2 linked regions of the Oreochromis niloticus genome follow. The protein of the gene in region 2 interacts with the protein of the main gene of each other region in a biochemical or structural test. Links are inferred from orthologs where the notes say so. Each region holds a gene or a part of one and is shown on either strand. Other genes may lie near its edges.

Evidence for each region.
Region 1: of the proteins of sik2b (region 2) and CREB-regulated transcription coactivator 2, one has a biochemical effect on the other in vitro, tested with the Homo sapiens proteins (2 studies listed by BioGRID). The link is inferred for Oreochromis niloticus from reciprocal best matches to the Homo sapiens genes SIK2 and CRTC2.

The regions. Positions count from the first base shown.
Region 1 is NC_031976.2:38,038,841-38,046,532, forward strand, and holds the start of CREB-regulated transcription coactivator 2, read right to left. Parts: upstream 3,173-7,692; 5' UTR 3,074-3,172; coding exon 2,906-3,073; intron 1-2,905. Other genes in the region: slc39a3 (zinc transporter ZIP3), read right to left, coding at 6,229-6,897. UniProt on the Homo sapiens protein: Transcriptional coactivator for CREB1 which activates transcription through both consensus and variant cAMP response element (CRE) sites.
Region 2 is NC_031979.2:21,140,629-21,148,066, forward strand, and holds the start of sik2b (serine/threonine-protein kinase SIK2), read left to right. Parts: upstream 1-4,349; 5' UTR 4,350-4,776; coding exon 4,777-4,914; intron 4,915-7,438. Other genes in the region: laynb (layilin), read left to right, coding at 1-21, 976-1,053, 1,158-1,275, 1,384-1,711. UniProt on the Homo sapiens protein: Serine/threonine-protein kinase that plays a role in many biological processes such as fatty acid oxidation, autophagy, immune response or glucose metabolism.

The DNA of each region.
Region 1 (7,692 bases), on a different chromosome or scaffold from region 2:
AGCACCAAACACTATTCATGTTCAGGGTTCGATTATTCTGCATTCATTCATTTCACAGGCAGAAAAACCATTTACAGCACCCGTCTGTCTGAAACTCGTCCGTCCTTACAGAGGAACTAAAGAGGAGCAACCAGCTGCTGCCCACTGGTTAACTCATCAGCAGCAGGTGTGAGCACCTGTGTAAAAGCAGAAGTGTTGCAGCACTCAGGTGTGCTAACAGGATGCCACAATCTTCCCAGGAGTGAACATCCCACCACATTCATCCTGAAACCCCCCCCCACAGATCTCTGACTCTACAGGCCTCATTTAGAAGGTTAAAGGTCACAACAGCCAGCTGAGGTTTGTAACGCTGCAGCAGACTTCAGCAACAGACGAGAGTAAAGTGCACAGCAGCAAACGGCTCACTGTGAGCGCGGTGAAGGAGGGATGACGATCCGAGTGGACCGTGAACTCCTCTGTATATCAGAGTATTCCAGAGCCAGAGTGAGGCCGTGTGTCCTGCAGCTGAAGCTCGGACCAATCGGCAGGACGGTGATCCGAGCACAGACTTCAATGAGCTGAAGCAACGCTGTGAAGAAGAGCGGACCCAAACTCCACAGAGATCTGATAAAGGCTGATAAAGTCACACAGGAAAGCGTCACTGCTGAGGGAGGCTCTACGAGCTGCTGAATCATGGGGTGGACTCCGTTTGCCTCACACTGCAGAGGGTCCAGTGAGATCCTCCTTCTTCACATGACTGTATGAGTTCAGAGAGAGCTCGGTCATGTCCTCGGGTTAAACTCCTGGATCTGCTCCAGACCTGCAGGTTTCTACCCGACGAATGACCAAGCAGCTCTGACACGATTCACCTGTCAGCGAGGTCAAGCCAATAATGATGGAGATCATGAAATCAGAGGGTGAAACCATCAAACCTGAGGATATTTTCTGTTTTATCACGCTTTCATAATCCCTGGAGGCCAAAATCTTTACAGAAGACCTAAACAATCAGCCCTGATCCACAGTGCCCGACTAAATCCATCTGAGCTACACAGAACCAGCACAGAACCAGGACCGTTCTCAGGACCAACTCGACCCCACAAGGAAACTAAACAGCCCCTCATAATGATAAGAAGCTGCAGCTGCTGGTCCTGGACCTGCTCGGTGCAGCACCTGCTGCAGCTTCTGGTCTGAGTGACTCTCCAGAACCAAACCAGGACCATCAGCAAGAGCTGCAGTTCAACAGAGAGGGGAAGAAGCCTGTCTGACCTGCAGCAGCGTCCAGAGCAACTCACACCTTCCAGACAGGAAGAACAGAGCAACTGAACTTTCAGAATAAGAGTGTGGGAGTGTAAAGATACCTGCACAGCCTCCCACGTTCATAAACAGTGAGCTGAGCCGTTTCTCATTCACTCGTGTATGAAATAAACACGTTTATGAAGGATGTGACTGGATGTCAGCCTGAAGCATTTGTGTTTCTGTTCAGCCGTCGGGCCCACGGCTCTTTGGTTTGAGTCCAGGAGAAGGTGTGGTCTACTCTGGTCCATAAGTAAGTCCCACCACTCAGCAGCCACCTTCAGGCATTTCCTGAACTACCTTTAATTTTGTGCTCTATGTGTAGAATCACTATCACATCTAAGGTGAAACTAAAATAAATAAAAGGTTTATTTTGAAGCCTTCATTTCAAAATAAAGGTTTGCTGACTTTGACCCAAAATAAGTCTTGAAGGATGAACTTTTACCACTGTGTGATTATTTCAGTGCCACATCTCTCTGTGTGTTCTAATACTGTCCACTTCCTGCTGTGACAAAACAAATTTCCCACGTGTGGGACTAATAAAGGTTATCTTATCTTATCTTAATAAAACTACACAAACGCACCTAAAAACTCCAAACCCCACTGCAGCATCACGGGCTGGACTGAGAGAACAAAAACACCAGCTTCATTTAAGCATAATAACCCACAGCAGGGAGACCAGGATCAGTGAAGTCACAGCTTCAGAAACACACACCTTTAAACTTGTAATAATTCGTCAGAAATGACCTCAAACATCAAAAATAAACTGACAGCCAGACTCCCACATTTTCCCAGGGCAGTAAACACACCAGCAGAGACCACCTGCCTTCACACTCCGACCCTCTCACCTGCTTCACACCTGAGGGTGTGTTTCAGATCACAGTGACACCCACACATCACCAATGACAGGGTGACATTAACACATCCGAACCAATCGCCCACCCTGACATTAAAGAGGCGCCGCCAGGCCAGAGTCCGTGTAAGGCATGCACGATTTAAGGTAAACTTTCCCGGACAGGGTGGACAAAGATAAAATCACCACGTCAGATCTGTAAAACGCACACATTTGTTCCACAAGTCAAAGCGGTACGAAACAAATCAAAAATAAAATCAGACTATTTTCCTTAAGAGACACAAAACATGAGTAATGGAAGCTTCCTCTACCTGCCGTGAAACCAAAGCCTGTCAATGGCTGACATTAACGCCGAAGTTGCCAAAGGGACAAAATAAACACCCCGAATTAATTAAGTCGTAGGTGTTGGATGTGTGTGTGACGTGAGGTGACGTCGCGTTAAAATGTCCGGTTTTTGGCCGGAGTTCTGCGGGGCGCTGCGGGGCTGACAGCGACGTTCACGTAACATAGTAAACAAGACAAGGTAGCCGCGTTAGCTTCGAGCGCTAACTGCGCTAACGATGTATCGGAAATGAAGAGCAGCGCGTCCCGGAGAGCACAAACACTCAACAAAACCCACACACTGCGTCCCCACGAGGTGATCGCCGCTAAAACTGCGCAAAATCTCAGTAAAGCGCCGCGCAGAGACACCGCACAGCGCTCTCCCGGAGCCCGACGAGTCCGGGCAAGGCCTCGCTTCCTCCAGCAGCTCTCCTCCTCCTGCCGCCGCCTCTCACTCACCCTGGTCGAAGTGATGTCCATCATGACCTCCTGGAAGGCGGCCGTCTCCTCGGCCTGCCGCTGGGTGTGCAGTGCTATCTTCTCGCTGAACTTTCGCGGGTTGGACGCCCCGGAGCCGGCGCCCGAGGCGGGTCCGGGTCCACAGCCGCCTGAGCCCGTCGCAGACATCTTCACCGAGCGGACGGGACGAGCTGACGTAGTGGAACGATTTCAGAGAGGGGCGGGGTGAAGAGGGATCACTCCGCCGCTTTTTCTGAGCACCAAAACCAGCAGCGAGTCTGCGCCGAAAGCCCGCAGCGGGACCAACCGAAACCCGGCCGAAAACACCCCGCCGGAGGACCGGGTTCACAGCCCGCTGGAGGACCGGGACCGGGTTCACAGCCCGGAGCTGACGAGGCAACAGCTCTGTTGTTGGTTTTTCTTTTAATTATTTTTTCAATCCTGAACAAACAAAACAGCGTGTTCAGTCCTTTTGTGTTCATCTTGCTAATAATTAAAAATATTTACAAAAGTAATTTAATTGATTTAAATAATGGAACGTATTTCTGTTCTCTTAATCATTCATTCATTTCATTTTTAATTCAAAGTTGAATTAAAAAGTCTGTGTGGGGGGGGTGTCCTATGGTAACAGCTACTTAAGTGAGGTCACGTGGACGTAGTTCAGCGTTTCTTCGTGGGAAGTGAGACCTCTGACTCACAGACCAGCTAAGATGGCTCGGCTGAGGTGTGTTGGCGCCCACTGCCGGCAGAGTTCAGCCGCTGCAGGCTGAACAGCTCCTGCTCCTCAATTTCCCCCAGCTGCAGAAATTAGAGGTCAAAGGTCAAGGTGGGGATCCTCTTCTTCCTTACTGTGTGAATATGAGATTAATCCGAGTCTGTGGACGACAGAATGCAGAAGAAGAAATCTTCAGACCACCTGTAGTTCAGCCGCGTCACCTCGTTTTTGAGTCTTCACTGTGATTTAGGGTCAAAGTTCCTGTTTTATTTCTGATGTAACGATGAGGTCAGCTGATCACTTTGGCCTTTTCATTGTTTGCTAATAAAGTTTTGTTGTAAACACGCTCTGTGACTGCTGCTGTCACCTGTGTCAGGGCTCGTTCGCCACCTTCGTGCGCGTCCTTAAATTCAGCTCCTGTCACGTTTGTGGTGATTGTGTTCAGCTGCGAACGCTCTGCTACTGTCCTCTCAGGTGCACTGATGAGGTCACACAGGTGTCACTGTGTTGCTGAACTGTTGTGCGCTCACACTGTGTCATCACTCCCGTATGTGTTTTTGGCTCACCAGTGAAACTGTGACATGAACGAGGTGATCACACACACACACACACACACACACACCGTGTCAGCGTCTGCGGTGGGAAAGCTGAAAGCTGACCGACCGCAGGTGGCTCGGACTGAAGTGAAAGAGGAACGCTCAGCGGCGCTCCGGCTGCTTCCCGTTCTGATTCTTCACCTGAACAAGGACACGCATCACATCCTGACATCAGCGAGGTCATCACTGAAGAGCAGCTGCCAAGAAACCGGCCTATAACCACGGCAACCACAGGTTACTAGGGAAAAATGAACCGGCTGTCAGCGACCCAGAAACCTGCAGCGACCACTCAGAGTTGACGTTTACCGCAGGGGTCGCCGTTCGGTCTGTAGGCCCGTGCCACCGGGTCGTCGCCACGGTGGTTTGTTTTTCGCTACGCTCCAAGGTCACGTGGTACAAACTTGTTTTCAGGGCAGTTCTCATTTAGCTTTAAAAACACAGAACACTTGTTTCCTGTTTCACAGGAACACAGACTGTATGTAAAAGATGGACCTAGCACAGTGACCGCCGCCATGTTGGTTTTCTGCCTGCAGTTTACATAAAAACACTTTTTTGTTTGTTCCTCAGATAAAATGAGAATAAAAACGTTTTCCGTCGGCTCGAGCGCCCGATGTGTTTGGATACGATGGACGGTCGGCGGCTAAAGCTGAGGACAAAAATCCATCATGATGCGTCATCGCTGCTCAGACTGTTTTCACGCGTGGCGAGGTGGTCATGTGACTGTCGAGCTGTCGGACTTCGTCCTGGATCAGTGCTGCTGATCCACTGATAAGTAATCACAGTTTATCTTTGCCGAGTAATCAGATTACAGGAGCTGAGAAAGCGTCACGCAGCAGAGGTTTGACTTAACGTCTCTGAAAATACTCGAGTCTTATTGTAATCGACTACTTTTACTTCAGTACAGACGTGCGTGTCTGTCCGCAGCAGCTTTATGTTTCTGCATTTCTGCTTCCTGTCGCTTCGTTTGACGAGCTGCTCGGTGCTGCGGCCATCTGTCCCGTGCGGCTGCAGGACGCCGCCTCATGAAATAAACATTCAAACACGCGTGTTTATTTTCTGTATAATTTGATACAAACTTGATTACAGTAAATTTACATGTTTAAAAATACTTTAATTACAAAAAATAAGTGTTTGAATCCTGCTGTCAGTTAAAATAGAGCTCTCCACTAAAAATATACTCTCCTCCGGCTCGGCGGCTCCAAACGTTCCAGTCAGATTTCTGAAGGTTTTCCAGACGTCGGCTCAGAAATCCTCGTTTAGCAACACGTTAGTCCTAAAAACTGAAATCAGCCACAGCTCTGGGTCGCTCCTCTGAGGCGAGCACATCAGAGGTTTGTGGTTGGTGGATCACTTCAGGCTTTCCTCGGGATTTTGTTCACGAGGAGGTCGGAGTATTGGTCATGTGATCGGGGTCTTTGCTCCGTTGGTCGCTTCTTCGATGCAACTAAACAGCCAAAGCGTCTCCACGTGGAACCTCCAATAAAAGCTGCCAAACAGGAAGTTCGGACGGGTCGACGACCTGCCGTCACGCTCCGTCAGCCATCAAATATGGCCGCTGTCCCGCTGCACCCCGAACTCTGAGATCGCGCCGCAGCAGGCCAGTCTGCTTCCCATGATGCACTTCTTCACTCCCTGGGGGTTCGATCGCCTGCTGCGGCTCCTTAGCTTCATCCCGCCTCCCTGAGCCTGCCAGAAGTTTCTTCCTGTTAAAAGGGAGTTCTCGCTCCCCGCTGTCACCAGGTGCGGCTCACGGGGGTTTGTCTGATTGGTGGGTTTCCGTCAAACCCTGCAGGTGGTCGGAGGAGACCTCGAAGGAGGACACGAGCCAAACTTTAACGGATCAGGTTTGTGGGGCTGTTCTGCTCCTCCCCCTGGCGCTCTCGCGTCGTCGTTGGTTTAAGTCTTCCTCTCTCAATAACGTCAAAGAAATTAAAAACGTGTTCCTAATGAAGCTCTGAACCATGTGACGCATCTGAAGTCGCACACGGAGCTCGCCCTCTCGCCATCTGCGTCTACAGTTTGATGAAGAGCACGGCGGTCACTACGGCAAAGCCCACCAGTAGCACAGCCACCTTGGCGATGCGGTTCCTGCCAGCGGCAAGCTCGTGCGGCAGGATCTCCATGAAGGTGATGTAGATGAAGGTTCCCGCCGCCAGCCCCTCCAGTGTGCAGCGGGCCAGCTGGTGCCCCGGCGATGTCTTGGTCTCGCTGAGGCCAATGCCCAGGCCAACGCCCAGCGGCGACATGACGGCGAACAGCAGGAGGCAACCGACCACCACAGAGCGGCGCAGCCGGGCCTGAGACAGCTTCACCGTCAGGCTGAAAGAGATGATGCTCTTGTGGATCATCAGGGCGAGGCAGATCTCCAGCACCTCCTGCCCCTTCTCCAGCAGCCCCACCGCCAGCCCCTCGAACACCGAGTGCAGCGACAGCGAGAAGACCAGAATGAAGGCGCGCAGGGCGGACTGAGATCCAAAGTCCACGTGGAAGTGACCGTCCGAGTCCGCCGAGTCCTGGCGGCGGCGGTGATCGTTGGATTGGATGCTGGAGTCCACCAGCAGAGAGCGCCGCTCCTCCGGGGACGGCGACGTCTGGTCCTTGAAGGCCAGGATGATCTGCTCCAGGACCAGGACCAGGAAGAAGCCCATGGCCACGATGAACTCGGGCAGGGGGAACTGCAGCTGAGGGAGGAAGAGGAGGAGAAGAAGAAGAGTCAGCTTGAGATACCTGTGTCTGGATTTACCTCCAGGTCCAAAACTAAGAAATGTTCAGAAATCTGAATGTCCGAATAAATCATCGGAAAAACATCAATATTTAATAAAACGTTAAAAGTAGAAACTCCAGAAGATTCTCATCGTCATAGAGACATGATCAATAACACGTGACGTACATAATCGGAGCTGCAGCTACAACCAGATTACATCCCTGGAAGTACCTGGGACAATTTCGTGGCCTTTGCATTTTTTAATTTCAAGCCATTTTCACTGTAATTTTTGTTTTTAAATTTTATTTTAAAATTTCAGTCTGAGTTCCTTAAATGAGCTTAAATGGCTGAGCTACAGACACATTCTCTCGAACCTCGTGGTCGATTTCTGCCCCATTGAAAACCATTATAAACGCTATTTTTCATTGCACGATTATTATAACTTAAGTTAATGCAGTCCTCTAAGTCTGCTTTAAAAAGTGAAAAAAAAGTGGTGTTGTGTGTCACTATAAATGTTGGATACTGGTATGTGTGCTTTTTTTAAAAAATATAAAGGTCTTTATGCCTAAAAAAAGGAAAAAAAAAGACACAAACACACTTTTTTTTCAAAAGTATTTCACAGTATTTTCTCTCAGACGGCCACACTGCAATGCAAACAAAGTAAATATAAAAGCAAGGACCAAAACCAAATTAGATTTTATTTTTCCCTTCAAGCTCATTTTTTAAACACGGCTGCAGTTGAATGAACCCCGCCCCGGAAGTAGTCATTGAC
Region 2 (7,438 bases):
ACAGAAACACAGCATACGCAGGTACTTGTCAGCTTAGAAATGCAAATATTAGAAGGTGATACACCTCTGTACTCACGTCTGCTGTGTACTGTGCATTCTGAAAACAACCATGTATTCCATGTAATGTGATCACATGAAAATTGTTATATTATACATAATATTGTGTATGTTCGATTACATTTTGTTTATTGTCCTTTGAGACAACCAACACCTGCAGGAAGCATCCTAATCAGATGCCTGAACCACTTCGACTGGCTCCTTTCAATGTGGAGGAGCAGCAGCTCTACTCCAAATCCAATTTGAATAACCGAGCTCTTCACCATCACTTTAAGGGAGAGCTCCACCACCCTTTTCATTGCTTATATCTGCAGCCTCATTCTTTTGGGTATTATTACAGTCTTCATAAATACATAAAAGGCTAAAGAAAATTTATACATGCTTGTGACCTCTTTTAAACACTTTTTCTCCAAGAAACATGGTAAATGGGCTGGATATTTATACTACATGCGTCATTCACCCATGCACACCTATTCATAAATCACTTTTTTCTACTCATAAATCCTTTCTAGCTAAATTTCACACACATTCATACTCCGATAAATGCGTTGGGGAGCAACCTGAGGTTCAGTATCTTGCCTAAGCATATTTGGTATGCAGACTGGAGCAGCCAAGGATCCAGCCACCAACCATATAAAGATAAAACATGAAGAACACACAGATACAAAACGTATTCTCTGGAGAACTCTATTTTTTTAACTGCTAAATTTTCTAGAAATTAAAATGCAACTGTCCTCTGCAGTAGAACATATGCGTCAGCTGTTATAGTCTATCTATGGGTGAGTTTAGTGAAATCATACATTATGTGATAACAAGATAGATAGATAGATAGATAGATAGAGATAAATTAGGGACTAATCGAATCATTTAAAATATTTTTCACACGCACCTGTTGATTTTGTTTTCTGGTTTCTCCAGTTCCATCTGTGATTCCAAGCATACTGTCAACCACAGAAAGTAACGAAAGGATAAAAATAGCACTACCTGAATCCTCTGGTAAGAAAGGAAAGAAAATATTCTTGATGCTCGGAGTCAGCGCAGTATGTTTTGGGAAACTATGAAAAACCACTGTGTCACAAGCAAAGTTCTTTTGTTCGCAGTATCTTTCTCTGGCAACACCCTCAACATTTCCTACATCCTTTATGCAACTATCCCTGCGCTGCTGTTGCTGTTGTTTGCAGCTGCTGGTTTCTTTTGCTACAAACAGCATGCTAAGAGGTAAAACTATAACTATAAAAAGCTATGAGAGATTTTTTTTTTTTTAAATGCATTTGATTATATGAGTATGTCCTGTTGATTTTAACTTGGGCCCTCTTTCATATTTAGGAGGAAGACAGAAACAGAAAGCTATCCCAGCAGATCAAAACAGTGGGTGCTAGCAACAGCTTCATCTTGCCCTGTGCAAGGACCTTATGCCTACAGTGACATTACCAAACTGCCTCACACTGCTCTGGACAGCAGGATAGCAGCAGAAATCATGACAAAGTACTCCGGTTCTCCGTCCCATGACTCCCAGTGCAACGATTATGAGAATGTGTCGTGTGTGGACAATGAGAGCGGCTTTGTCACCAATGACATTTACGAGCCCTGCAGAGCTCAAAGCCGGCGCTGCCGCAGTCAGACTGGATGGGTGGAAAATGAGATCTATGGATAACACCGGTGTCTGCAAATGTCCGTCAACCACAGACAGACTACAGTTACACTGTGCGGTGCAGGATTTCTAAGCAGCTTGGCCATATCTGCACAGGTTTCACTCAGTTTTCTAGTCCTGCATGTAGAATGTACTGTGTCTGCAAATCAGTGTATTCCATAAAACAGGGATTCTTAATGTTTTGTCCATGACTCAGTATTCACCTACACATGACTTTATATTTCTGATGTTTTAATAAAAATGTGTTACAGTCAGACCAATGGCACTGTTAGCTCCGTGAATCACTGTGATAGCATGCTGATAGATGTAGACACATTGTTTTCCATATTCACCATCATAGTATGGATGCCCAAAATTGCAGACTAGTTCCACACACTAAATAAAGCTGAAGCTAATCGAATCTGATTGAAAAAGAAAAGGATGAGAAGTTAAAGGACTGCCAAAGTGATTCTGAAGAGGGCACGGATGTGTGTATACAATTTCATAGTAATCCATCCAACAGCTGTTGAGACCCTTGTTGTAATCCACTAATCTTATAGTGGCATTACTACATTACAGGCTATGCACTGAAATGCATAGGCTGGAAACTGCAAAAATACAAAACCAAATCATGTCATAAAGGTTCCAATATTTCATAAGGTTAATGAAAAGTGGGTGAAGATATTACAGAAAAGTTCAAGTGGAATATCAAAAGCATTAGTCTATTTATTGTCTGGGGAGAATGCACAAATTTTCAAGGCAAATTTTGGTCCTGTATTAAAGTAATTCAGGCTAAAGAGGCAGGCCATCTGATAGACTGCTGATAATGCTGTCCTTAAAAATTGTGTTATATTTTAAGTTAACTGAATAAATGGTAAGATCAATTCATCAAGCAGCTAAAGATGTAGGTCATGTACAGGTCTCTAAGCTAAACTAACGGAATGGGCTTTGAGTAATTTTTTATGTTTCAACTCAAAGAAAAACACGTTTTTGTGCCCACTTATTTCCTTTGTTCAGTTTAAACCTTCAGCTCTAATAAATTATGCAACATTACAGCAGCACTAAAGTTCTTAGAGGTTTTAGGAGGCATTAATGAAACCAAAGAAGCATTAATAGTTCAGGTCAGCTTGGTGGTGCAGCAGTGCTGCTGAATCTGACATAACAGATTATGCAATTAGCCTAATCCTGTAATATTGCACCCCCACAGGGTTACTCATTTTGTAAACAATTGTACATTAAACTACTCAGCTTCTCTTTTTAAAATAATGTCAATGGATATGATGAGTCAGAAGACAGAGAGGGTTTGCGTGTTGGCTTGCTGCTGTGATGGAGACTCCAACCCAGGGACTTTTTTGACCTTTTCTCTAAACTTGAACTTTGGTGTCATCCCTGTGTAAGGCTTCCTGTTTGGTCTCTGATGTCAGAGCCCAGCAGAGAACATGAGGAAACACCGATGGCTGAACTGCTGTGGCCAAAATAAACCTCAAAGTTGTGCGGTTTCCTGACTCCACCTGATTGTGCACGAGGTTCAACTTTCCCACTGATCTGACAGAAACTTGAGGCCAGTTTAGAATATATCACACCGTTAATCAATGCATGTGCATTTCCATGTTCATTTTTAAAGATCACTCTTTGCGTTACGTATACAAATGTCTGTGTTTTTTTCTAAATGTGCACCGAGTGGGTGTTGGATCGGTGTCTTGGAAAGATGTAGCAAGCCCAGTAAGGAGAGGCTGAGTGTGTTCTTGGAGAATGTTAGACAGGAAATGCCAAAAGCACATCTGGAACTCTTACATTCAGGAAGTCGATGCGTGACAGCGGAGGCCTTTGGAGCACTGCTCTGCCTGCCTGCTTAGCAATCCACTGTTCTGTTTGACTGTCACTACACAACATGAAGAAAAGCAGTGCCAGTTGCAGAGCTGTGCTGCAATTCAGACATGAAGATAGTTTCTTTTTCTGATGTGTAGTTAAGATATTTTGGCTGCATTCTTTGTTTAATAATAATATAGATATACTGGTGGGATCTGCTTGAAAGCTGCTTGAAAGCATGAAGCGTGATAAGTCAAGCACTGGGGAAAAGGAAAATATGGAGCCTCGCTTCAGTTTTCTACTTTTGCCAACAGATGGTGCTGTCATGTAGCTGACAAAAGTTTCTTTGTGGCTGATAAAATGTCTGATTTTATATGAGGCTCTGTGTATTCCATTATGTAATGTTATAGATTAGAAATGCAGTTGCATAGCTGGATTAATCAGCTACACACACACACACACACACACACACACATATATATCTATATATATATATATATATGTATGTATATATATAAAAGCAACACTAGCTGTTTGTTTGGTTTTTTGCTTCTTAAATTATTATTTTTTACTTTTTTTTGCAGACCCCACTCTGGAGGCTTTCAGGCCGGTTCAGACCGCTTTTAGCTCCTGTCTCCCCCTGCATTTTTCACTCGCAGCCGACAAAAGCTTATTAAACACCTGCAGGGCAAAAACTTCAAAGTTACCTATGCGTGCAATCAAGAAGGGCAGGCGAGCAAACAGATTTCAGAATAGCAATTTTACCGGTTGACGTAAGAGGTGGGTCTGGTTGTCCTGGCAACCAATTGGCACTGAAGTGTGGAGCGGCTCGGTGGCCCCGCCCCCTGTACAAATACCCCTATGGCTTTGACGTCAATACACGTCAACCGGAGAACATGATGCCTCTTTGCAAGTCAACTCGTGTGCTCTGTCGCTGATAGAGGCGCCTCAAGCTGAAATATTATAGCTCTATTGTACTGAAGAACGTGGTGTGACAGCCCGCGGGCTCAGCAAATGGCCAGCTTCGTATCGCCACACTAGCGGACAGGGTCGCCACAGTCGCGTTCAGGCGGCCGAGGGCGACACAGAAATCAACTTTGTGTATTTTTAATGGACACGCTTCGAGCGGCGGCGGTGGCAGCAGCGGCGGTGGCGGGCGGTTTGTTTTCCTTTCGTCTTTATCTCGAGCTGCTCAAGTAAGCCCCAGTCTGCCCCTCGTGTGTCCCTGCACGTCTGGCTGCCTCCTACTCTTCCACTGAACAGTCCCGTTTTAGAACAGCATGGTCATGGCTGACAGTGTCCAAAAACCGCTGATCCGGGGTCCGGTCCGAGTGGGCTTCTACGACATCGAGCGCACTTTAGGAAAGGGCAATTTCGCTGTGGTGAAGTTGGCCCGACACCGCATAACCAAGACGGAGGTGAGTGTGTGAGCAAACTAGTTAGCCCGAAAGCTAACTTGTGCTACTGTTTTAGCGGAGTTATATAACTTTTATGCACAAGTTGACACCCCTAGATAGCGAAATGCTCTCCAGCACCGTGCACTAAATAGCATCTTTGGATCATATAACTACCGGCCACTTGGACTGCTCCGGTTCGAGCAACAGCTGGTGTGCCTGAAAGCTTGCAGGTACAGGAGCAGTGAATGACTGCACGTTCACCCCTCTCAGCTGACATCACTGCCAGTAAAAAAAAATAAATAAAAAAAAGGTCTGACCACTAGAGCTGCTGGGAAACACAAACTGTAAACATGCATGCTTTATTATTATTTTTATTTATTTGTTTTTCTGCACATGCATCCGTTTGGTTAATGACCCAGACGGCAGCCACAGTGTACCTACTCAAGAGTGACTGGTGCCGTATCTGGGGCATGCAGCATGGGTCGGTGGTCCCCTTATGTAATTCAAGTAATGATGTGATTTTTTTTTTATTTTATTTTTTTAGTTGTTTCTTATCTCAACACTGCTCAGAGCTTTGTGATGAGCAGGGTATGTCATGTCAGATATGCTGTAATTGGAAAGCAAAGTATTTTGCATGCACTGCTTTTTAGGGGGGTGGGGGTCGAGGGTCTTAACTAAGCTTGGAGTGATATTAGAAACATTGCACACTCTTAGGCAATGCAGCATGAGTGCAGAGGGAACAGGGCTCGGGGTTTGTTTGAGTTTACTTCTGGGTTTATGTCAGCTTTGTGCAGAAGGGCCCTTTCTCAACCAGTACCACGGAGTGCCACGACTTTCTGCTGTAATGACAGAGACACAAGGAATTTGCTGTAAAGGGTGTTCAGTTAGAAAAAGAAAAGGGGGCAAAGGAAAAAAATAAAATAAAAGCTGTATTGTGTGAGACAGTGATAAGACTGGAGAGCTGCTGCACACTTTGATCTCTGGAGCCTCCAACTGATTACACCGTACAGAAAAAAACAAAGATTTACATCATCCAGGCGAGACCCTTGGTAGGTTTAATGAATAACAAGGCAACAAAATGGCTCTGTAGACTCTTATCTTGTTACTCTGGTTATTAAAGCACGCAAAGTGGCACAGCATTAGTCTAGCCAGGTAATCTGCACCGTGTAACATTAACAGCTCTGTGAATGCAGGTTTTAATTTCAGGCAAACGTTACACCAGGTGATTTCACTAAGCGACTACACCTCTCCCTCAGCTGGAGTGGTATTAAAGATGAATGAAAACATGGGTTGTTTTTTAGGCTGGGTTTGGCAGAGGTCACTCAGTGATGGTCAGTACGGAGAGCGAATGCAGCTGCCTAGCTCTGGCAGTGGGCCTGGCACTGTTGTTTTTTTAATTTTTTTATTTTACAGCAGCCAAGGTCAGCCGGAGTGGCAGGCTATTAACTTATGTGATGCCATCTGCCTTGAGAATTTGCCCGGGCACAAGTGATATTAGCATAGTGTAAAGAAAACCAGTGTACTGACACATGAAACAGCAGATGTGGTGCGACGATGTGAATGTGTGGGCATATTCCCGGACAGGTTTATCTCTGTGTAAATAACCTACTTATTCTGTGCGTGGCCCCTGCATGTGATACTGACCCATTCATCCCAGTAAGTACATATTGCAGCTTGTGGCTTTACATACTGTTGAGCCATTCCCTTCTGGTCTTGTGTGTCAGCTCAGCAAGTAGTACATCAATCCATATCTGATTATAGCGTCATCATGTCTTTCTGCTTTCATTGTATGAGCTAAATTCCCCTCTAACTCATTGTCCTCCAGTGACCTTGTGCCAGCACAGTTCATGAGAAGTCTTATGTGCTGTGTGTGGGTTTAGTTTTGTTGACAATGTAATCAGCTAGCACAGATCTTTTCATGTTAGGTGCTCTGTTGTCCCTCTGTAGCAGAACAAAGATTTTGAATCTCATGCTCGAAGGGTCTGCACAGGTAGCTGGAGTGCCATTAAAAGATTTCAATTTAATCCTGAATTGAACACCTGCCTGTACGTAGCTAGGGAGATGATAATGGAAAGTGTTAAACCTATCAAAATACCCATTGCTACTCATCTGTAAGTCCAAACTGTTAATATGTTAAAGGCAGGTCAATAAGTTACAGATCTGTCGTTAAAATAAAAAGCTGTGCTCACGCTCCGTGCAAGAGAATGCATTACATTTCCTTGACTTACTTGAATAATACCGCTTCACTGACACAGTGGGCTTGAACCTAAAAAAAAAAATATGCAGTGCACTGTGATAGTCGATCACTGCAACTTTCCTGATGAAAATTTTAGTAATGTGAAAAGAATCTGCTGTTTATATGATCGTCACGCTACAGACAAAATGCCTGTGATAAGTGCCCGGATGAAAATCCAGTGTCAGACAGTATTATTTTGGAATCAGATAAATCCTCAAACCACATGACTCTGTAACCCAACTTGCCTTTCTAAGATAGTACCCTATAGTCTGTGCTGCCACATTCTTGTTTTGTCTAAGCAGTTCCAGA